Struthio camelus: one gene and its partners. The main gene of each other region encodes a partner of the protein of the gene in region 2 in a complex. Links are inferred from orthologs where the notes say so. Each region holds a gene or a part of one and is shown on either strand. Other genes may lie near its edges.

The links.
Region 1: STRIP2 (region 2) and STRN4 share a complex: the UniProt entries of both Homo sapiens proteins name them as parts of the core of STRIPAK complex. The link is inferred for Struthio camelus from reciprocal best matches to the Homo sapiens genes STRIP2 and STRN4.
Region 3: STRIP2 (region 2) and STK24 share a complex: the UniProt entries of both Homo sapiens proteins name them as parts of the core of STRIPAK complex. The link is inferred for Struthio camelus from reciprocal best matches to the Homo sapiens genes STRIP2 and STK24.

The regions. Positions count from the first base shown.
Region 1 is NC_090957.1:1,875,373-1,883,496, forward strand, and holds the start of STRN4 (striatin-4), read right to left. Parts: upstream 3,260-8,124; 5' UTR 2,184-3,259; coding exon 1,648-2,183; intron 1,509-1,647; coding exon 1,435-1,508; intron 1,330-1,434; coding exon 1,251-1,329; intron 1,157-1,250; coding exon 983-1,156; intron 1-982. Other genes in the region: ribitol 5-phosphate transferase FKRP, read left to right, coding at 8,117-8,124. UniProt on the Homo sapiens protein: Calmodulin-binding scaffolding protein which is the center of the striatin-interacting phosphatase and kinase (STRIPAK) complexes.
Region 2 is NC_090942.1:1,695,334-1,703,012, reverse strand, and holds the start of STRIP2 (striatin-interacting protein 2), read right to left. Parts: upstream 3,226-7,679; 5' UTR 3,208-3,225; coding exon 3,103-3,207; intron 1,474-3,102; coding exon 1,404-1,473; intron 160-1,403; coding exon 1-159. UniProt on the Homo sapiens protein: Plays a role in the regulation of cell morphology and cytoskeletal organization. Required in the control of cell shape. Calmodulin-binding scaffolding protein which is the center of the striatin-interacting phosphatase and kinase (STRIPAK) complexes.
Region 3 is NC_090942.1:164,904,696-164,912,545, reverse strand, and holds the start of STK24 (serine/threonine-protein kinase 24), read right to left. Parts: upstream 3,035-7,850; 5' UTR 2,743-3,034; coding exon 2,701-2,742; intron 1-2,700. UniProt on the Homo sapiens protein: Serine/threonine-protein kinase that acts on both serine and threonine residues and promotes apoptosis in response to stress stimuli and caspase activation.

The DNA of each region.
Region 1 (8,124 bases), on a different chromosome or scaffold from region 2:
AGCCGGAGCCCCCCCTCTCCGAGTCGGAGCGGGCTGAGCTGGAGCCCCCCCTCTCCGACCCAGAGCAGGACACACCGAGCCTGAGCCCCCCCTCTCCAATCCGGAGCGGGCTGAGCTGGAGCCCCCCCTCTCCGAGCCAGAGTGGGATGCGCTGCGCTGAGCCCCCCCCCTCCAAGCCGGAGCAGGCTGAGCTGGAGCCCCCCCTCTCCGAGCCGGAGCGGGCCGAGCTGCACTGAGCCCCCCTCTCTCCGAGCCAGAGCGGGCCGACCTGGAGCCCCGCCCCCCCCCTTCGAGCCAGGTTGAGCTGGAGCCCCCCCCCTCCGAGCCAGAGCGGGCTGAGCCAGACCCCCCCTCTCCGAGCTGGAGCAAGTTGCACTAAGCCCCCCCTTCTCCGAGCCGGAGTGGGCCGAGCTGGAGCCCCCCCTTCTCCGAGCCGGAGCGGGACACACCGAGCCCGAGCCCCCCCTCTCTGAGCCGGAGCGGGCTGAGCCAGACCCCCCCTCTCTGAGCGGGAGCGGGCCGAGCTGGAGCCCCCCCTCTCCGAGCCGGAGCGGGACACACTGAGCCCGAGCCCCCCCTCTCTGAGCCGGAGCGGGCTGAGCCAGACCCCCCCTCTCTGAGCTGGAGCGGGCCGAGCTGGAGCCCCCCCTCTCCGAGCCGGAGCGGGACACACCGAGCCCGAGCCCCCCCTCTCTGAGCCGGAGCGGGCTGAGCCAGACCCCCCCTCTCTGAGCCGGAGCGGGCTGAGCTGGAGCCCCCCCTCTCCGAGCCAGAGCGGGCTGAGCCAGACCCCCCCTCTCCGAGCTGGAGCAAGTTGCACTGAGCCCCCCCTTCTCCGAGCCGGAGCCCCCCTCTCCGAGCCGGAGCCCCCTTCTCCGAGCCGGAGCGGGCTGTGCCAGAGCCCCCCTCTCCGAGCCGGGTTGAGCCGGAGCCCCCCCCCCGAGCCAGAGCGGGCTGTGCCGTGCCGGAGCCCCCCCCTCACCTCTGAATCTGCTCCTCGATGCGCCTGACGAGCGGCGAGTCTCCGCCGCGGAGCGCCGGCTCGGAGCCGTCGGCGGCTCCGCTGACGCCCGCGGAGCAGCGGCCGAGCAGGGAGCGCACGCGCTTGGAGCGCATGTCCAGGACGGTGTCGGTGTAACCCACCTCCTCCAGGTACCTGCGGCGGCGGAGCTGAGAACGGGCAGCTCGGGACAGCCCGGGGCAAGCCCCCCCCCCCTCAAATATCACCCCCCCGATTTCCCGGCACTCACTGCCGCAGGAGCTGCCGTCCTTCCTTCCAGGCCGAGGGGCTGCCGTCCGGCGCCGCCGCTTCCGCCGGGCCGTTGGCGGCTGGGAAAGAAGAGGACGGAGCGAGGGGAGGGCGACGGGGGGGGTCAGCGCGCCGGAGAAGTGGGGGGGGGGGGGGGGGGGACGAGGCTCCGCCGGCTCCCTCACCCGGCTCCGCCGCCTCCGGCCTCTTCTCGCCCGGGTTGAGGTCGGTGCCGAATTTCAGCTTGTGATATTTAGACCTGGGGGGATTTAAGGAAAAAAGGGAGGGGGTTAAAAAGAAAAAATAAAACACACGCGTGCGGCACAACCGGGATTTTCCGCGTCTTCCCCTTCGGGCCGAGGCTGCGCCGGAGCCGCCTCCGCGCCGCCCTCTCCTACCTTTCCTGCTTCAGGGCGTATTCCAGCATTTTTATCCGCCGCACCAGGTCCGTCTTGAGGTTTTCCTGGCCTTTGCGCTCGCCCTGCAGAAAGGCCACCTGCGCCTGGCGGGAGGCGAGGCCGCGCTGAGCGGGGCCGGTGGTGCGGCGCCGGTGGTGCGGCGCTGGTCGTCCCCCCCCCCGACCCCGCGTTCCCGGGAAAAACAAAAAAGACGGGAAAAAGAGGGAGCTGCCGGAGGCGTCGGGCTGCGGGAAGGAGGAGCGGAGAGGAGGCGGCCGCCGCGAAGGTTGCAGCGCTGCCGGCGGTACCCGGAGCGCTGCCGGTGGTACTGGGAGCGATGCCGGTGGCGTGGGCAGCGGTGGTACCAGGAACGGCGCCGACGGTATCAGGACTGCTGGCACCGGAGTGATGCCGATGGTACCGGGAGTGATGGTACCAGGACTGCTGGCACCGGAGTGATGCCGATGGTACCGGGAGTGATGGTACCAGGACTGCTGGCACCGGAGTGATGCCGATGGTACCTTAAGCGCCAGCATCAGAGCGATGCCGATGGCACCAGGAGCGATGGTACCAGGAACGGTGCCGATGGTACCAGGACTGCTGGCACCAGAGCAATGCCGATGGTACCGGGAGCGCCGGCATCAGAGGGATGCTGATGGCACTGGGAGCGATGGTACCAGGAATGGTGGGCACTGGGAGCGATGGTACCAGGAATGGTGCCGATGGTACCAGGACTGCTGACACCGGAGCGATGCCGATGGTACTGCAGGCACCAGCATCAGAGCGATGCTGATGGTACCGAGAGTGACGGCACCAGGAACGGTGCCGATGGTACCAGGACTGCTGGCACCAGTGACGCCGATGGTACCAAGAGCGATGGTACCGGGAATGCCAGCATCAGAATAACGCCGATGGTACCAGCAGCGATGGTACCAGGAATGCTGACACCAACAGCAATGCTGATGGTACCAGGAGTGCTGGCACCAGAGCGATGGCACCGGGAACTGTGCCGATGGTGCCAGGACTGCTGGCACCGGAGCAATGCCGATGGTACCGGGAACGACGGTACCAGAAACGGTACTGGTGGTACCAGGACTGCCGACACCAGAGCAATGCCGATGGTACCGGGAGCGCCAGCATCGGAGCGATGCCAACAGCACTGGCAGTGGTGGTACCACGAATAGTTCCGATGGTACCAGAGCGACGCCAATGGTACTGCGAACGGCGGTATCGGGAACGCCAGCATCGGAGCGATGCCAACGGCACTGGCAGCGGTGGTACCAGGAATAGTGCCAATGGTACCGGAGCGATGCCGATGGTACCGGGAACGGCGGTACCAGGAACACCAGCATCGGAGTGATGCTAACGGCACTGGTAGCGATGGTACCAGGACTGCCGGTACCAGAGCGATGCCGATGGTACCGAGAGTGCTGGCACCGGGAACGGTGCCGACGGTACCGGGAGCACCATCGGGGCGCAGGGGAACAGCCGGTGCTCCGGCATGGGGCAGCTACCTCCAATATTGGGGGGGGGGGCCCTGATAGCAGGGGACCCCGTTACCGGGGTGGGGGTGGGGTCTCCGTTACCATGGTGCCTGTTATCGGAGTGGGGGGGGGCACCCTGTACCCCATTACCGGGGCAGGGGGGTCCCCAATACCGGCACACAAAGGCAGCGGGTCCCCCCCAGACCCTGGGGCCTCCCAGTAACATGCCCCCCCCCCCGCAGCCACACAGCCGGTTCCCAGTGCCCCCTCCCCACCGGTGTCGGTTCCTGGTTCACCCCCAACCCACCCAGTACCGGCTCCCGGTGCCCCCTGGTCCGCTCCCCCCCCCCGGTGCTGGTTCCCCCCCCCCTTCCAGTTCCCCCCCCCAACTGGTTCCCTCCTGGTGCCGATTCCCAGTTCCCTCCCCCCCCTCCGGTTCCTGGTCCCAGTTCTCCCCCTGCCCCGGTGCCCAGTTCCGCCCCGGTCCCGGTTCCCCACCCCCAGTTCCGTCCTGGTACTGGTTCCCTCCCGGTTGCCCCCCGGTGCCCGGTTCCCGGTTCCTCCTCCGTTCCGGTTCCCGGTCCCGGTTCTTCCACGGGGCCCGGTTCCCCCTCGGTCCCGGTTCTCCACCCCCAGTACCGGTTCCCTCCCAGTACCGGTTCCCCCTGGGTGCCCGGTCCCGGTTCCCCACCCCCAGTTCTCCCCCGGTACCGGTTCCCCCCCGGTGCCCGGTCCCGGTTCCCCACCCCCAATTCCCCCCCGGTCCCGGTTCCCCCCCCGGTGCCCGGTCCCGGTTCCCCACCCCCAGTTCCCCCCCAGTCCCGGTTCTCCCCCGGTCCCGGTTCCCGTTCCCCCCGGTGCCTGGTTCCCCCCCGGTGCCCGGTCCCGGTTCCCCACCCCCAGTTCCCCCCGGTTCCGGTTCCCCCCGGTGCCCGGTTCCCCCCGGTCCCGGTTCCCCACCCCCAGTTCCCCCCCGGTCCCGGTTCCCCACCCCCAGTTCCCCCCCGGTGCCGGTTCCTCCTGGGTGCCCGGTCCCGGTTCCCCAGCCCCAGTTCCCCCCCGGTTCCGGTTCCCCCCGGTGCCCGGTTCCCCCCGGTGCCCGGTTCCCCACCCCCAGTTCCCCCCCGGTACCGGTTCCCCACCCCCAATTCCCCCCCGGTTCCGGTTCCCCCCGGTGCCCGGTTCCCCCCGGTCCCGGTTCCCCACCCCCAGTTCCCCCCCGGTGCCGGTTCCCGGTCCCGGTTCCCCCCGGTGCCCGGTCCCCCCCCCATCCCGGTGCCGGCTGCCGGTCCCGCCCCCGGCATGGCTCCGGGCGGCCATTTCCTCCCAAGATGGCGGCGGCGGCAGCAGCAGCGGCGGCTCCGGTACCCCCGCCCCCCCCCCAGCTCCCCCGGTACCGGCGCCGCTACCTGCAGCTCGGCCCGCTCGGCCTCCCAGCGGCTCTTCTCGGCCTCGAAGCGGGCCCACTCGTGCTGGATGAAGTGCAGGATGCCGGGCAGGCTCAGCTCGGCGGCGGCGGCGGCGGGGGGGGGCGGCGGCGGCTCGGGGGGGGGCGGCTGGGCCCGCGCCGCCGCCCGCTCGGCCTCCATCATGGCTCCCGCCCGCTGCCACAAAGGGAGCCGCTGCCCGGGGCCGCCCGCCGCCGCTTCCTGCCACAAAGGGAGCCGCCGCCGGAAGTGACGTCGAGAGGCGCGCGCGGGGAGGGGAGGGGAGGGGGGAGGCGGCGGCGGCTGGCGCGGGGGGGGGGTGGTTGAGGGCCGGTTGCCGGGGCAACGGCGCCCCGTGGTACGGGCGGTGCGGGGGCTATGGGGGGCTATGGGGGGGTATGGGGGGGTATGGGGGGTATAGGGGGTACGGGGGGTATAGGGGGTACGGGGGGTATGGGGGGGTATAGGGGGTACGGGGGGTATGGGGGGTATAGGGGGTACGGGGGGGCGCGGCGGGGTATGGCGGTCACCGGGGTACGGGGCGGTGCGGGGGCTATGGGGGGCTATAGGGGCCACGGGGGGGTATGGGGGTATAGGGGGTACGGGGGGTATAGGGGGATATAGGGGGTACGGGGGGGCGCGGCGGGGTATGGCGGTCACCGGGGTACGGGGCAGTGCGGGGGCTATGGGGGGCTATAGGGGCCACGGGGGGGTATGGGGGCTATAGGGGGTATAGGGGATATGGGGGATATAGGGGGTACGGGGGGTATAGGGGGGTATAGGGGGTACGGGGGGGCGCGGCGGGGTATGGCAATCACCGGGGTACGGGGCAGTGCGGGGGCTATGGGGGGCTATAGGGGCCACGGGGGGGTATGGGGGCTATAGGAGCCACGGGGGGGTGTGGGGGTATAGGGGGTACGGGGGGTATGGGGGATATAGGGAGTACGGGGGGGCGCGGCGGGGTATGGCGGTCACCGGGGTACGGGGCGGTGTGGGGGCTATGGGGGGGCTGTGGGAGCCACTGGGGGGTATGGGGGATATAGGGGGTACGGGGGGGTATGGGGGGATATAGGGGGTACGGGGGGGTATAGGGGGATATAGGGGGTACGGGGGGGGCACAGCAGGGTATGGCGGTCACCGGGGTACGGGGCGGTGCGGGGGCTATGGGGGGCTATAGGGGCCACGGGGGGTATAGGGGGACATAGGGGGTACAGGGGACTATAGGGGGATATAGGGGGTACAGGGGGGCACAGGGGATGTGGCGGGGTATGGCAGTCACTGGGGTATGGGGTGGTGCGGGGGCTATGGGGGGGTTATAGGGGCACAGGGGGGGTATAGGGGGCTATAGGGGGTACGGGGGGCTATAGGGGGTACGGGGGCCGTGGGGGAAGCGGCAGGGTATGGCGGTCACTGGGGTACGGGGTGGTGCGGAAGCTATGGGGGGACTACAGGGGCCACAGGGGGGTATAGGGGGGCCACAGGGGGGTATAGGGGGGGTACAGGGGGTACGGGGGGGCGCAGGGGACGCAGTGAGGTATGGTGGTCACCAGGGTACAGGGTGGTGGGGGGGCTGTGGGGGCCACAGGGAGGGTATAGGGGGCTATAGGGGGGTATGGGGGGCTATAGGGGGGTATAGCGGGTACGGGGGGCCATAGGGGCTATAGGGGGGTACGGGGGGCGCGGGGGACACAGCGGGGTATGGCGGTCACTGGGGTACGGGGCAGTGCAGGGGCTATGGGGGGGCTATAGGGGCTATAGGGGGTACGGGGGGGCACGGGGGACGCGGCAGGGTATGGCAGTCACCGGGGTACGGGACGGTGCAGGGGCTATGGGGGGGCTATAGGGGGTATGGAGGGTTCGGGGACGCGGCAGGGTATGGTGGTCACCGGGGTATGGGGTGGTGTGGGGGCTATGGGGGGGCTCTAGGGGTATGGGGAGCTATAGGGGGCTATGGGGGCTATAGGTGGTATGAGGGGCTATAGGGAGCTATGAGGGGTACGGGTGGTAGGGGGGTGCTATAGGAGGTATGGGGAGGTATAGGGGGCTATGGGGGAAGAGAGACACGGGGGGGATTTGGTGATCACCAGGGCACGGGGCGGTGTGGGGGCTATAGGGAGGTACGGGGTGGCGGGGCTGTACGGGGGTCTATAGGGGTGTGCAGGGTCACGGAGGAGCGGGGGGGTAAAAGGGTGTGCGCACGTGTAGACAGGTGTGTACAGCGGCACGCGGAGGAATACAGGCGCGCCTGGGCCGATGGATGTGTCCAGCGGTACGTGGAGCGATGCAGGTGCGGGTGTATTGGTGAGTACACCTGCACGTGGAGGTATACAGGTGCGTACGCGGCTGTATAGGGCTGTACACCGGCACACGGAGGTAGACAGGTGTGCATGCAACCATATAGCTGTCTATACTGGTACAGGGAGGTCTACAGGCATGCACACAGGCGTATAGGGGTATACACCAGCCAGTACGTGGAGATATACAGGTGGGCGCACGGTCGTAGGGCTGTGTACACTGGCACGTGGAGGGGTACAGGCATGCACACAGGTGTATAGGGGTGTACACTGGCACATGGAGGTATAGAGCTGTGCGCACAGGTGTATAGGGGTGTACACCAGCACATGGAGGTATACAAGCGTGCACACAGGGGTGTAGGGGTGTACGCTGGTACATGAGAGATACAGGCATGCGCATGGGTGTATAGGGGTGTACAGTGGTACGGGGAGACGTACAGGCGTGCGCAGGGTCATATAGCTGTATGCACTGGTAATGTGGAGGTATACAAGCGTTCGTATGGGTATATAGCTATGTACACTGGTACATGGAGGTGTACAAGCGTTTGCATGGGTGTATAGGTGTGTACAGTGGTACACGGAGGTATACAGGCACGCGCACAGTCGTATGGGGTGCACACTCATAGAGAGACATACAGGTACGTGCATGTGTTTGGCTGTGTACACACGTACACTTAAAGGGCTCGAGCATTGCTATCGCTTGGTACGGTGTTGCTAGGGATGGGGTTGCTGTGGCAACAACACCCTTCCCCTCCCGTCGCCGTGGCCATTCGTGTCCCAACGCCGCGAAGCCTCAGCTGGGAGCGCTGCTGCCTCTGAGGCACCTGCGGGCCCCTAACAAGGAGGGGGTCGCTAACGAGGGGGGGTCGCTAACGAGGGGGGGGGTCCGGGCCCTGCCCCTCCCCTCCCTGACGCTCCTTTTCCCTCCTCACAGCGCTGCTACGGTGGGGGAGGCCGCTGAGACCGCCCCGCTCGCCGCACGTGTGACAACACCATCACAGGTGCAGGCTGCTGAGACCGCCCAACTCGCTACACGTGTGGCACAGGCATCGTGGCCGGAGGCTGCTGAGACCCCGGAACTCGTGGCACGTGTGACACTGCCCTTGCAGTTGACAGCTGCAGAGGCCGCGCAACTCGCTGCACGTGTGACTCTGCTGTCAGGCGGCCTCCGCCTGTGACTCACCGCGCGGGTGACGCCGCCACTATGGCTGGAGCCCGCTGAGACCGCCCGACTTGCCGCGCGCGCCGCCCCGTGACCGCAGCCATGCGCCT
Region 2 (7,679 bases):
GAGCATGGAAGTCCTCTTCGAAGCACCTGCGGTTGGTGACGAACTCCGGCTCCTCGGTGTAGCTGTACAGCTCTGATGGGGAAAGGAGGTCAGCAGCGACTGGGAGACGTTTCACCCTCCTCCTCACTGCCAAATTGCTCACCGGGCTCTTCAACAGCCCTGCTCGCCCGAGGAGACACGAGCCTTAAGCCAAACACGTATGCTGGAGCTCTTCCCCAGGTCCACCAGACACGGCGGCATCCGGAGGTTGCTACTAAACTCAGCTTAATTCTCATCCTGATTTCACGGAGGGGGAAGGGAGGCAGAGGACCCGCGGGTCTCCCGGCTCACACCATCTGCCCCGGAGAGGACACAGATATCCTGATCTGTATGGCACTGAAATCAATTCAAATCAAAATAGGATCCATAGCTCTTGCTAAGTTATAAGGAAAAGCTCTAGTGCTATCGCTCTGAAACTCGCTGCAGCTTTAGCTGATTTTCTCGTCCCTTTTTCCCTTCCGTTTCTTTTTCTGGCCTTTCACCACTTCCAGGCAGGTCTGGAAGGGGACCTCACCCTGGTCCTGGCTGCCAGCACAGATATTTGCACTGCATTTGCTACGCTTTTGTAGGGTTTTTGTGTGTGGGGGGGGGGGGAGTGATTTTTGGTCACTATTAAGTCAATTTGCAACAGCAGGGACCACAGGAGCAGCCAGCCGAAACCTGCCCTGATTTCAGGCCGACGGGTTTGAGTGTTTCAGGGAGAAGCGGCTTTGGGCCGGATGCTCCCGGGATGCAGTGTAGATGCGCGTGCCGGGTGGAAAGGGAGATGCTTGCCAACCTGCGCTATCCAGCACGGCACGTGGCTGTTCCTCCAGCCAGCTGCATGGCCTTCATTTTTTCCCAGATCATTTTTGACCCCAGAATATTGTAGCCTTTAGTTGGCTGGAGAAGAGGACAACATGCTTTTTTTTTGTTCAGCAGGTTTCTAGGCAAGGCTGCGACTTGGTGTCACAGAAGTGCAAAACTGAGTCGCGGTAGGAAGGTACCTCGAGACCGTCTAGTCCAACCCCTTTGTGAACAGGACCCAGGACCGCGTCCAGTCGGGCTTTAGGTACCTCCAAGGATGGAGGCTCCACAACCCGCCTGGGCAGCCTGCCCCAGCGTTCGACCGCCCGCGCGGTAAACGGCGCCAACGCTGCCTGGGGGCAGATCAAGCCAGGAAAAAAATATAAAATAAAACCGACCTCTGCCCTTCTTGGACACCAGCCCTATCAACGTAGGCCTAAGCCTACTCAAGAGCCATCTCCTGTCCAGCTCGCCCTCTTCCGCACGGGATTTCTTGCCCCGGCAGGCACCCAGGCGTAGCCGAGCAGCGCGGAGACGCGGCCGAGCGCCCCGGCCTCCGCTGCGGCCCCTTTCTGTACCTGATAGCTCCACGGCGAAGCCGTCAGCGTCTCCGTACCCAAACTCCAGGTTGGGGCAGTCCACCGAGCCCTGCGGAGAGCATCCTCGGTTAGCGGCCGAGGCGGGGAGAGGGGCGAAACGCCGTGGCGCTGCCTATCCCGCAGGCTGTTGCGGGGTGTCCGTGGCTCGGAGAGGCACGACACTGCCCCGGGGGGCCACGCGACCGCTCCCGGGCCGTCGGGGGCGATCGGGGCGGTCCGCGGGGAGCCCACACCCTCCACGTCGAGCTCATGCATAGACGATGGTCGTTACCACCACGGGTCTCCAGGGCCCGCTCGGACTGTTCAAAATACAGCGCGAATTGGGAAAGAACACATGAAAAGCAGCCACATCAGCAGCGTGGGAAAGCCGCGGCAGGACCCAAACGGCCGGTGACCGTTTGCTGCTTGCAGCGTCCCCGGGCGGGTTTCCCCGGGACGGTTTGACGCCTCTGCACCCGCCGCCCGTGGCGTCACCCCGTCCCTTCGCTTGTCCGCGCGGCTCCGTTTCAGCCCACAGGCAAGGAAATCCCTTTGGCCGCAAACGCGCCCCGGCCCCGTGGGAACGCGGCGCTCCCAGCGAGTAACTGGAGCGCGAAGCTCTTCCGCTGGATCGGGGCGGAGACGGGCCGAGCGCGCCGCGGGCGGCCGGAGGAAACACGCCAATGAATAACGCGGTAAATTAGGTTAATTTGCCGTTCGGAGCCCCCGAATCCCGTTTCGGCAGCCAGGCTGGACCGGCGCAAATGGTCGTTACTAGCGGTCACGGCAGCTGGGGACGCGCAGCTCCGGCCCGGAGGGGCTCAGCCCTCTCCCCTCCGCCTCCGGATCAAGCCTAAAACCAGGGACGTCCGAAAACTCAACGTTTCCCCCAGTTTGTCCTTAACCCCGATGCTTTGAGGTGGCCGCAGAGGCATTTTACACCCTCTGCGCGCAGCCGCTTCTTGCCCGCGGCACCAAGGCAGCCGGGATTTCGGGAGCCGCCGTGCCCGGCTCCCCAGCGCTCAGCGGCGAAACGCAAACAGTTACTCTAAAGCATGACGGAGGAGGGTGGAAAGCGCGTTTTGTTGGCATTGCCGCTTTGCACCGAGGCTCGAAGCACTCGCGGTGTTCGCCCCTGATGCCGGCTCCTCACGCGGGATGGGGCCGGACGCGAGCCCGCCGTAGGCAGGGGAGACCCCTCCGAAGGCCGGGAACTCGCACCTCCGCGGCGCGGGAAGGCTGGACTCGGCCGCCCGCCCGACGGCACCGCTGTCACAGCAGCGGGGCAGCGGCGGGAGGAGAAACCACCCAGCGGGAACCACGTCGCGACGCCTCCGCTCCCGCGCTGCGGGCGGGCGACAGCCTCCCCGAGGCGGCGCGGACGCTCCCGGCTGCGAAAAGGGATATTTGCGCCTGCCGCCCCGTCGGGGCCGGCGCCCGCTCCTCTGCGAGGAAACGGGTCAGGGAAAGGATCCGGCAGAAAACCCACCTTCCCCGCGCCTCTACCCCAAACCCAGCCAAACCCGCGGACCTGCGGGCGAAAGGGGGCACCGGCCCCGCCGGGCTCCCCCGCGCCCCGACGGCGGCCCGGCCCAAGCGCCGTCCGGGCTTCCTCGTTGTCCCCCCCCCTTACCCCTGCCCGGCCCCCCCCGCCCCAGACGGGCCGCCCGCCCGCAGCAGCGGCCACCCCCGCCCTTACCTCGGACTCCTTCCGCTGGCTCCTGAAGAGCTCCCGGCCCTTGGGCTGGGGCTGGGGGGGCCGCGGGGCCGGGGCCGGGGCCGCGCCGCCGCCCGCCGCCTCCATGCGCTGCGCCCCTCTGCAGCGCCGCCGAGCACGTGGGGGGCCGAGCCTCCCCGCGCCCCGCCCCCGGCCCGCCCCCGCCGCTCCCATTGGTCCGCCGCCTCCCGGGGGCGGGGCCGCTGGACACACCCCCCACGCCGCCATTGGGCCGCGCCTCGGAGGGGGCGGGGACACGGGTGTGTGTGTGGGGGGGTGTCCTTCGGGTGCAGGGCTGCAAGGGGGGGGGTTCGGGGCACCGCGGGTTTGGGGGGGGGAGACGGGGGGGGAGACGGGGGGGGTTCGGGGCACCGCGGGTTTGGGGGGGGAGACGGGGGGGTTCAGGGCACCCTGGGTTGGGGGGGGTTCCGGGGGGGGACAGAGACGGGGGGGGTTAGGGGCATCCCGGGTCTGGGGGGGGGGGAGACGTGGGGGGAGACGGGGGGGAGGTTCGGGGCACCGCGGGTTGGGGGGGGTGTTTCCGGGGGGGGGAGACGGGGGGGGCTTCGGGGCACCGCGGGTCTGGGGGGGTGTTTCCGGGGGGGGGGGCAGAGACGGGGGGGGTTCGGGGCACCGCGGGTTGGGGGGGGCGGAGACGGGGGGGGTTCGGGGCACCGCGGGTCTGGGGGGGTCCCGGGGGGGGCAGAGACGGGGGGGGTTCGGGGCACCGCGGGTCTGGGGGGGTCCCGGGGGGGGGCAGAGACGGGGGGGTTCGGGGCACCCCGGGTCTGGGGGGGTCCCGGGGGGGGCAGAGACGGGGGGGGTTCGGGGCACCGCGGGTCTGGGGGGGTCCCGGGGGGGGCAGAGACGGGGGGGGGTTCGGGGCACCGCGGGTTGGGGGGGGCGGAGACGGGGGGGGTTCGGGGCACCGCGGGTCTGGGGGGTGTTTCCGGGGGGGGCAGAGACGTGGGGGGTTCGGGGCACCGCGGGTCTGGGGGGGTCCCGGGGGGGCAGAGACGGGGGGGGGTTCGGGGCACCGCGGGTCTGGGGGGGTCCCGGGGGGGGGCAGAGACGGGGGGGGTTCGGGGCACCCCGGGTCTGGGGGGGTCCCGGGGGGGGCAGAGACGGGGGGGGTTCGGGGCACCGCGGGTCTGGGGGGGTCCCGGGGGGGGCAGAGACGGGGGGGGTTCGGGGCACCGCGGGTCTGGGGGGGTCCCGGGGGGGGCAGAGACGGGGGGGTTCGGGGCACCGCGGGTCTGGGGGGGTCCCGGGGGGGGCAGAGACGCCTTTGGGCAGCGCGCCCCGGTCGCTGTCCCCGCCAGGGCGCCGCCAGCCCCCTCCGAGGCGCCGGGGGCCTCTCAGCCTTCGCCTTTATCCCCTAAGGCGGCAGCGCCGAGGCAGGATGCGTCCGGCGGCGGGGAAAGGCCGGGGTGGCGCTGGCGACCGTCGCAGCAAAAGCAACAGCTTTTCCCAGCCACGATTCAGCCCGGTTTCACCAAGGGCAGCGCAGGAGCAGGAGCGAAACAGCTGCCCGTAACCCCAGCCAGCGGCCTCCGCTTGCCCCCGGCCCCGGGGGCGGCGGAAGGAGCCACCAGGACGCTGGAAAGCCGCCCGCTTTTGCCCAGGGGCCCCCGCAGGTTTCTGCCCCCCCCCCCGCTTTTTTTTTTAAAAAACCCGGGCAGGTTGCGCCTCCCTTCTGGGCAAAGCCGGCGGCCGCAGCGCCGGCCTCGGCCCCCGCCGCCAAGCACGCGCCGCAGACACTCGCCTTTCCGATGTTTTATTTGCGTTTTGAGATTACAGAGTCTTTATTGCTGATCTAATACAATCACTCATACATTAATAGTTAAAACATCCTTTTGAAAATGTTATGGTTCCAAAGTTTTAATTTCCTTATGGCAGGGTTTTTTTTTTTTTTTTTTTTGGACAGGTTTTGTCCTACGGTTGCTAAAGTTCAGAACAGAATTATTTTCCTTATACAATTTTTGCTGGTGTTACCTAAACCTCCTTTTCCTAATTCTTTAAAAATGTGTTACATTAAAAAAAAAAAAAAAGAAAGAAAGAAAAAGCCATTACACGTTTAATTTAGAGATGATCACAGAATAGGATTCCAGATTGATTAGGAAAAGCCAAGCAAGCGAAAAAGCGGAACGACATGGAGAAAAGCTTTAAAAAAATCGAGATTTGGGACGATTTTTTTTTTCCCCCCTTCTATTTACCCGGAGGATAAAGTGGGCTTAAAAAATCGGCACGAACGAATTCACGGATGAGGACAGCACCACCATATGCTCCACTAGCGACAGACACAGGGGAGGGAAGCGACTGGTCTGAGCTGTAGCGAAGGGTCACACGGATGGATAGCGCTTTTCCTGGGGCAGATCCCGCTGCGTCCCTGAGCCCCTTTGCCAAGGGCTGCCTCGCTCAGCGCGACCCCGCACCTGCGTTCCCTATCTGACTCGAGACATCAAAGACAGGCCGACGTCGCCGCCTTCATCGCACGGAAAGCGGAGGGAAAGCTGCCGGCGGCCCTGCGTCGGGCCGTCGGCTGCCGCCGTCCTGCCGCCCCCGAGGGGAACGGGAAGCGTCGCCCCGCCGGGATCCCACCCGGCCCTGCTGCAGCAGGAACCGGAGCAGGTCTCGGAGCGGGACCAGACCCTGGGCGTCCTTCACGCGCCTGTCCCTAGTGCAGGCGCCCCTTCTTTGCGGGCTGCTGCGGGCAACGGCTGGGCTTCGCTCCTGGACCAGGACCCGGCGTCGCTGGCCAGGCTGGGGAGGTCCCAGGAAGCACAGGGATAACCGGAGCCGGCCTCAGCACAGAGAGAGCAGAAGGACCAAGCGCTTGGTCAACAGGCAGGGTCACAGGCCGGTGGCAACCTCAAGGGATAAAGAGCGGGCTGAGGTATCGGATACGCGTTTCTCTTTCCGAGCCCGTTCCAGGAAAGGGCAGTGCTCCCGCGAGGCGGCACGTTCCCCAGGTCCCGGCTGCTGGCTCTGCTCTGACGAGGCTGGCGCGCAGATGAAAACCTCCGCTGCGAACCTCCTCTCTCCCTTTACCCCTTCCACGTGTGCAGTCAACACGTCCGAGACCTCGAAACTACATGGGTGGAGAAGTTCCCGGGGCTTCACCCAGAACGGGAAAAGCCCACTCGGGCAGCACAGCCTTCGCGTGAAATCCCAGCTCCGGAGAGACCAAGGGGATGTCTGTGAATGACTTCACCGAGAGCAGGATTTCACACCACAAACCTACAAATAACAAAAGAAACTCGGTTTGTTGGCTGTTGCAGACTAGGCTATTCCAGGGTGAGAAAACAGGTCCAAACTTGAAGTTTACAATAGTTCAGTGGACTCTTCCCAAAAATCTCACGATCCGAATAAAATTCACGAGTGAGTGAAGATTATTTAGAGCTTGTGGTTAACGATCACTCTCTGATGCATCCCTTACTTTTCTAGTTAAGCTAGTTGAGAAGTTGCAAACTCTTCAAAGAGAAAATTGGAATAGAAAGCACACTAGAAAACTTGCTCCGAAGACAAGCGGACTCTGGACAAGCTGACTTCAGATCTCGTCATCAAGACTCGGTGGCGGAGGCCGTAACTCCACAGTTTGTCCTTTCTTGTGCGTGAACAAGCTGCCACAAAAAAATTCCCCTTCTCATGATGCCAAAGGAGTCGGAGAGGACAAAACAAGACTCTCGCGTGGCGACAGTACTCGGGTACTGACGCAGCGACCACAGGTGACGTCCACGTGCTCAGGTCTCCAGCACAGGGGCGCTAAGAGCTACCTAAACTACTCCGGCGCTTTTTAAGAAGGACCACGTTCTCCGCGTGAGCCGTAGAAGTGATTCTGACGAGACACTGAGACTTCACAAGTTCCCCCGAGAGGCGTGCTATGCTGTTTGCAGCGTTCGGGCAGGACATCTTGGGCTAAAACAAGTCACTACGACAACTCTGTTCTCTGACAGCTCTGACTTAATCCATCAAGACTTGACATGATTGAGGCGATGCTGAACTCTGCTTGTGATCCTGATCGCTGCACCCAAACCAGGGGTGGTGAGCGTTCGGGGGTACGTCTTGTACAGTCCAAGGGGAATTCCAGATTTGATTAGGTTATAAACAAGTATTACCAGAAAATAAAACTCCAAGAGCTCCCGTGAGAAGCTGGGAAATGTTTCCGTTACCACAGGTGTCTTTCTACGGAACGAGGCATTGATTCAACGAGGACTGAAACTCAGCTCGGCAAAGACCTCGTGTTAACGTTGGCCTTCGAAAGTGGTCAGCGCCGCTGTCTCCTTCGGCGGCGCGCGCGGACAGCGAGCCGGGGCCGCGTTTCGGAGAGCCCCCTCGAAACGCCAGCAGCAGCAGCCGCTGTCAGCCAAGCGGCCAGGCCGCTCTTCGAGCGTGGGCACAAAACGCCACGCAAAAGCCCCGTGAAGAAGACAGCTTCGGTTGACTCATCCAAGGTTGGCACTCGACATAAGCAGCAGGAAAATACTGCGGAGCTGCTGAAGAAGGGGGTGTCGGCGGGTCTCAGCCCTCCGCCGCCATCCCTGCGGTGTCGCTCGGGG
Region 3 (7,850 bases), about 160 Mb from region 2:
GGCACTGTCCCAACATGGGATTTTGGGGTGTCAAGAACTGACTCTTGTTTACACTTGATTGCCCTCTTATGTAAGGACAGTAATAAACACCAGAAAAAGCTGTATAACTTCTCACTGACATTACTTCCAAGATTTGTTGCAAAATCTGCTGGTGGGGAGAAGGGATCACAGTACAGGAAGAAAATACAGTCCCGTCATTTAGGCAACTTAAGCACGCTCCAGAGAACTGAGTTCTGTTCCTTTCTCTGTTACATAATGAAAAGTCACAAACCATAAACTTTGCTTTATTTAAGTAGCTGTGACAAATTATATGTACTTAACGGTACACAGTTTGAGCACTCATCTGCAGATAAAGTCAAAGAGAATCATGTACTGAAAACCAAACACTATAAAATTGCTATACACTCTGGCAAAGTGGGAACAAATCTAGACATCTTTTACTGGGCAAGAAAATTAGCAAGTAATTTTCACACTACCGACCTTGAACTTTATGCACCTACTTATCTGTAGGTTTTGGGTTTATTTTTTTTTTTTACATAGTTGTTAATGTTCAAAAACACTCAAGAAACTCACTCATAAGAATACAATAAAAATTTGTGTGAAAAATAATACTGTATTGAATAAAAAAATCTGAAGTAAACTCCCAAATTATATGGACTAACAACAAAAAAAAGGAATATCTATCCGGTTAGTACAGCTAACAGTACTACAAATTAAACAATAAATCAAATAATAAGCCAAGAAAACCTAGGTCTTTTGAGAGATCATGCAATCACATATATAAGCACTGCATGCAAACTGCAGGAATAAACTTTGCTCTCTTTATTTCCCAGCATCTCCAGATCCAACTTTTTAAATTCAAAAATACTATGACTCTTTTTGAAAAAAAAAAAGTAAATAGCGTTATTGGTTCTAAAATATTTCAAAGTATTAAAAAAAATGCAACATTAATCTAGCCCTACCGTTAGCAACAAACTGTTACCTCTCTGTCTTTGGAGATGAGCACACTGCTTGCATTTGGAAGGTGAACTTGAACACTCAACAGAGTGACAAATATACACACTTAGAGTGAGGGCCTATGTACTCATTTGGCATCTAGTACTATATGCCTGAGCATTGACATAACCATTCATTCAACATGCTACTGAAGTTTCTTAAGAAACACATTTTTTTCTCATGACTTCTATGATTCAAACTTTAGGACATTTAAATAGTTTATTTTCCATTTAATTTCTCCTTTAAAAAAATGTCCATATCTTTCAAGCAATACATAAGGGGTGATTTTAAAGATATTTGCAGATGAATAGCTTTGCAGGGTACAAAGAAGCTGAGAACTCTCCAGGGTAGAAGGAAAGCAAAGCCAGAGTACAAAGAATGTGAATAGGAAAAATACATTATGCAGGTGGCAACATACACAATTTCAAGCTGACTCTTAACTATTAGTTGTCCATTTTCCCCTCAGTTTGTGGGAAGTAGAGTAGTTATTTTGATTTACGCACAAATATAACATTTTAAATTCAAATCCTCAGGCTATGCAAGGATGTAAGATTCATGAACTAGAATCTGATTCATGGGAAAATGATCCAAAGTAAATCAATACTGAAACCAAATGAAGCACAAAAACTTTTAACCTTGAAGATAATTTCAGAAAAACTCTATGTCCCAGTCACAAGTATTTCTTTTGGGGGCTGCGGGAGGGGTGCACAGGGAAGTGTCTAATAATACACAGAAAATATTACAATAACACACAAACACCAAAGACCTTAAGGTTCTTCTGGCAGTACTTTGTTATTGAATTTGGACTAAAAAAAAAAAGAAAACAAGGAAAAAGCCAGTTTAGTCACCAGAAAACCACATCAGTTATTTAAAAAATACAGTTACAACACAAAAACAGCAAATCCCACTGTATAACAGCTACAGCTAACCAACTCCTACAGCCAAACACAGAAGCCAAATATAATCTCCAAACATCCACCTCAAACAGCACCCCCACTAGCCAGTTCTACCGAGATGGGCACTGCAGCACACGTTGAAGGTCAACGTTTTCAGGCCCTGTTTTTACGTATGGAGAGCATATTTTTCCTAGCCACGTCAAAATAACGGGACTGAAAATCGTCTCTAAAGACAAGTTTCATTTCATGAATCAAAACAGCCCGGCAGAACTACTGGACGGTGGGGGGGTTACCAAGCACACTTCCATCAAAACAGCGGCTATTAAGCAATGAGAAAGGGAGGGATTCACTAAGCAGAGAGACCTTGCTATGCATTATGTGAAGTGCTGACAGCACATTTTGTTTCCAGGGGTTACGAGATCCGGCTCCTCCCCGCCAACCCCCCCTCGCCACCTTCTTCAAGACCGAGTCAGAGTGAAGAGGCATTTTTTTCCCCCTCGCCCTGTCCCTCTAGCCTGAGGGCATCCCCTTACCGCCAGGCACCACACCCGCCCGCCCTTCACCCCAGACCCCGCACCCCTTTCACACTATTCCTCCCCTCCTTTCCCACCCCACCGAGCCCCGCCGGTTCCGGGCAGACAATACAGGGAAGGGATACAAGGACCAAGCCCTGGCTCCCCTCCCCCACCGCTCGCCGTGGGTGCGTGTCCGTGCCTGCCCTTGGGGTGGGCGGGGGGGGGAAGGAGGGGACCCGCCCATCCCCCATCCAACGTCCGCGGCAGCAGAGGGGACGGCGGTTGGTGCTCACCTGCATCCCCGGCAGGCCCGTCTGCACGGGGGAGTGAGCCATGGCGGCGGCGACAGAGAGTGGGGCGGGGGGTGGGGGGAGTCAGGTCCCCTCAGGCGCCTCCAGGGGACGGGGCTGAGCTCATCATACACACACACATACAAACTGCTGCTGCTCTTCTTCCTCCTCCTCCTCCTCCTTCTTCTTCTCTCCCTTCCCCCGTGCGAGCGGCGCCTGTGCGCGGGCGGGCTAGGCGGTGGGAAAGGGGCTGTCCCAAGCCTGGGCTCTTCTGGCCCCGTCACGGATGCAACGGCGGCGACGGCGGCCTCCGCCTCCTCCCCCCCCCCCAACCGCCCCCTGCCGCGCGCGCAGAGCGGCCGTTACTGGTGCGACGGCGCGCGGAGCCCCGCCGCCACACGACGACAAACCTGGGGGAGGGGCGGGGAATGCTCGCCCGCCCGCCCCGCCTCTCCTACCCGGCTACCTGCACGCGCTGCCCCGCCCCCACCAGCCCGCGGGCGGGCGGGCGCGCGCGCGAGCTCGGAGGCCAACGGCCGGCGGCGGGAAGGGGAGCGGGGAAATAACGGAACGAGAACGGCCGCCCGCCCGCGCCCCCGCCGCGGGGAGGGGGTTGGCGAAGGGACAAAACGCCCGGAGGTTTGGCGCACGTAGCGCGGTGTGACGAGACCCGCCGCCCCGGGCCTGAGCGCCGTCAGCACCTCCGGCGCTCCCGGCCCTGCGGCGGGAGTACGAGCCGGCAGCCCCAGGCAGCTCGCTGGGCTGGCGTCGTCTTCGAGGCTAAAAGCACCGGCTGCCCGGCCCCTGTGCTACGGCCTTTGGGGGTTTGGGTTTTCTTTCTTTTTTTTTTTTTCTTCTTTTCTTTTCTTTTTCCACACACACACACACACACACACACACACAACCCGAAGACCTGCTTCTCCTTTCCCACAGTCGAAATCAAGAGCAACTTCCTGGCTGTCAGTGAAACAGAGCAGGTGAAACGAGATGAGCGTCAGGCGGAGAGGCTGCACGCTTAAAATAAAGAAACCGGAGTGAGATGATAGATCAAGATGGCAGAAACGCTAGACATTTTCTGGTATGTCCTTTTCCTGCCTCCCCTTCACTTGGACGCTTTAAGAAAGGTCACAGTAATGCTATAGCCCTACTGAGGTTTATGGTTTCAGGAAGCACTTGACTTCCTGTCAGAAGTTGCAAAAGAGCTAAGCCAAAATAATAGTCATGATGTTGTTACAGTACTTCTTAAATGGGAAGAAGAGAGGGCCAGCAGTCCACGTCTCCCCTCCTCGTGAGAAACCCTGGAAACCCATTTAACACCCTTAAGAACATGTTAATATTGTATTTCCCGTGTTTGGCCAGTTTAAACTGAGATTCAAGAGTTACATCATAAATTTAGCAATATGCTAATTATGCCATGAGATTCTCTCCCTTTCTCCCCCCCACCCCAAATGAATAGGTAGTTTCATGAACGGTGAAATTAATGAAGCCTAGCTTCTAGTGGGTTTGGGAGCTACAGAAAAGGGGTGAGCTTCCACTGTAGCGTAAATTGCCTTTCAGTAGGTAGCCCACTAGAGAGAGTTTGTACAAATCTCGTAACTGCTGGAAAGCTTTAAAGTATAACATGGTCTCTTGGACATTTGGTTAGACACAGGCTCTCCCACTGAAGTTTTTTTCCGTAGTTACGGTATTTTTTTTGTGTATGTCTAATATGGACTGAGCCAATGCTGCACACTTGTCTTCCTGAAACTTGTAGAAACTTAACTGTCTTCAAGATTTTTACCCTTCAGTGAAATGTGAATGAAATTAGCCAGCAGCCTCATACAGGCACATACAGGCGTGCGCGCGCGCACACACACACACACACACACACACACACACACACACACAATCCCATAAATCTTGTTTTCCTTAGAAATTAGACTAGACTTATCAGTGCCTGAGTACAGTGAAACATGGAACGGATGATGGATAGAAGTTGTATAGAAACTTGAACTACTGGAATTCTTTTATTAGTTATTTATGAATGAGTTGCTAGTTTACTTAATGCTGGAATACATTTTAAATTCTGTAAACTTTCAAAAACATGAAAATGCCTCACCTCTTTATTAATATATAATTTCCTAAGAAATGTAAAAGCTTTCATTTAGATGAGTTCTACTTCAATCAAAAATCAGATTAAATAACAGACTTATAAAAAGAATTGGCATCAAACCTTCTATTTAGATTGTTTTCCATCTTAAAATATTTTTGCAATCTTTATTTAAAAAAAAAATCTTTGATGTCTCCATGGTTTACTCCACTGTTTGTAGTATGTTTTTAAATTGCTAGTGAGAAAGGCAGTGGGCTGTAGATGAGCCTTTTTCTTTGTCCTATTAATACCATTTAGCTTTAGCTACATCACAAAATACTAAAAATCCCCAAGGAGACAGTGTCAGGTTTGCTGTTACCTATGCAGCTTTAACTCTGCTCCATTCTATGTTGTCATTACAATCCACATTTTACCAGCTGCCTTACTTTTTCTGCACTTGCACATTCAGTGCAGAGTGAAAAATACAAAGGGTATAGAACTAAGCTTCATCTTTTGTATTAAGAAAAGGTATAAAGCGATTATGTTTTATCCATTAGTATACACAGAAAAAGTTACCATCTTCTAGCTGATCTGAAGCAACTTTCCCCATGTAAGGTCCTAGCCCAGGGCCAATGTGAAATCATTTGAACTATTTTAACCATCTTTTGCTTATATTCCTTCACTGAGTAAAGATGATGGATTTTTTTCACCTCAAAGTTTCGAGGTTCCGAAGTTTATGGCTCTGCATTACATACTCAACAAGACACTATGCCTAACAAATGACTGAGCCAGTGGAATAAGCTCTATGAGCAGATTTACTTGTTAGGGAAACAAAGGAAACATGGGAACAAAGGAGCAGATCCAAAATGCAAAGCAGATATCAGTCTAAATTAAGTTCTAATGAACTAAGAACAGTGTATTAGAATTCCTAATTTCTGTCAACTTCTGTATTCTATACTGTATCTTATGTTCTGGTACAATTCCAACTTCTCTTCTGAACGTAGAGAAATTTTAACCAAACTAGTTTTAAATGTAATCTTAAAATAATGATTTTTTTTTCTGTATGTTGTTGTTGTTTTTGTAAATGCTAATTTTTTAGCCTAACCTTCAGTTTCTTCCTCATAGACTAAATAACAGAAGCCTTGCAATTTTTTCTCTGTTTCTCAGCCCTTGTATATTATATTCCAAAGAAAGGCTATTCTTGCAGAAATCTTCATTTAAAATAGAATGTTTGCACATTAGGACAGCCTGCTATTCTAGTACAATGATAAGGACTTTGAAAATAAACAATTCTTATTAGTAAGCTGGCTCCCTGTTATTGTATCTTTTTGAAGCCAGATGTTTCCAACATGCAAAAATTCAGTCAACTTAAGTTATTTTATGTGCTGGCTCACAACACCTGATTCACTTTCAACTTAAAACAGTACTTCACATATTCAGAGATGTTGTGCTTTGCTGGTTGTACAAGAAAAAAAGTTAGGAAAGAAGAGTATTATTCATTGTAACAGCAATGACTATGAATTTCCTTTCATAAATTACCTTTTTCCTTACTGACCAAGACTAAAATTTCTTCTCAAATGAGTAATGTCAGACTATTGATGTTTTCCAACAAGAAAGATGTACCAAAAGCTTCTCTCTTTTGAACTTTGTAATATATAATATAGCATAAATAAATCAGTATTCATATTTTGAAAACATTATGGATTGTAACAGATGGGGCATTTGTCTAAAAACATAATGCGTGAAAAATGTAATGGTGATTAAGGAATCTTTATGCAGATAAATAGCACAAGGCGCAAATTTACATAGTGAACAGAAAAGAATGAGAGGGCTGAATATGCGATCCCATTGCTTGCAGTAGAGTCATGGCTATGGTATTATGGAGCCTCCCCAGCAGACAGGATGGAGTTGGTCCATCTTGTATGGCAGCAGTTGCATCCTGTCACCATAATCATCAAGCATCCTTGATTTGAAGGTTGTGGAACAATTAATCAAATGATACTACCAGATTATTCATCGCTAAACTTGTTGCTGGATTTTTTTTTTCATTTCTTTATTGTCTTTATCCGTGCTCTTCAGGCTTTCCTGTTTTCTTTCTTCTACTGATCAGTTTCTGTACTTAGTAAACCTTTTTAGCAACCTGTATAAAAATATATAATTTTTTAATAGATTAGTGTACTTTGTACACATAATAAAATTTTCACTATTTTGTCTTTAGAGCTTCATTTTGAATGCTTTTATTTTAAATGTATTGCATTTGCAGATAATGCAAAACAGCTTTAACAAGGTTCTTCACAAATGATCCCTAAAGAATCTAAACAGTCAAGTGATAAAAGTGTAAGTCCATACACGGATCTAGGCAAGATGGGGGAAGGGGAGTGGTATAGTGGCAGGAGAGTCTGTAATACACTGCTCAAGTCAGGATGCCTCCAGCGGGTGCATACAGCCAGGGGAGACAGCATAGGACATGGCTATGGAGGATCCTCTTGCACCTCTCCTGGGAAGCTTGCATGCTTGACTGGCTCTCTGAAATGCCTGTACACCAATGCACGCAGCATGGAGAATAAACAGGAAGAGTTAGAGATCTGTGTGCGGTCGCAGGGCCATGATCTCATTGCAGTGACAGAGACATGGTGGGATAGTTCACATGACTGGGATGCTGTCATGGATGGCTATGTGCTTTTTAGGAAAGACAGGCCAGGAAGGCGAGGTGGTGGAGTTGCCCTTTATGTGAGGGAGCAGCTAGAATGTATGGAGCTCTGCCTCGGGGTGGATGAAGAGCAAGTTGAGAGCCTATGGATAAAGGATTAAAGGGCAGGCTAACATGGGTGACACTGTTGTGGGGGTTTACTGCAGGCCACCTGACCAGGAGGAAGTCATCGATGAGGCCTTCTACAGACAGCTGGAAGTAGCCTCACGATCACAGGCCCTGGTTCTCCTGGGAGACTTCAACCACCCTGACATCTGCTGGGAAGACAGCACAGCTAGGCACAGTCAAAGAGGTTCCTGCAGAGCACTGATGATAACTTCTTGACCCAGGTGGTGGAGACGCCAACGAGGAGAGGTGCAATGCTAGACCTTGTAC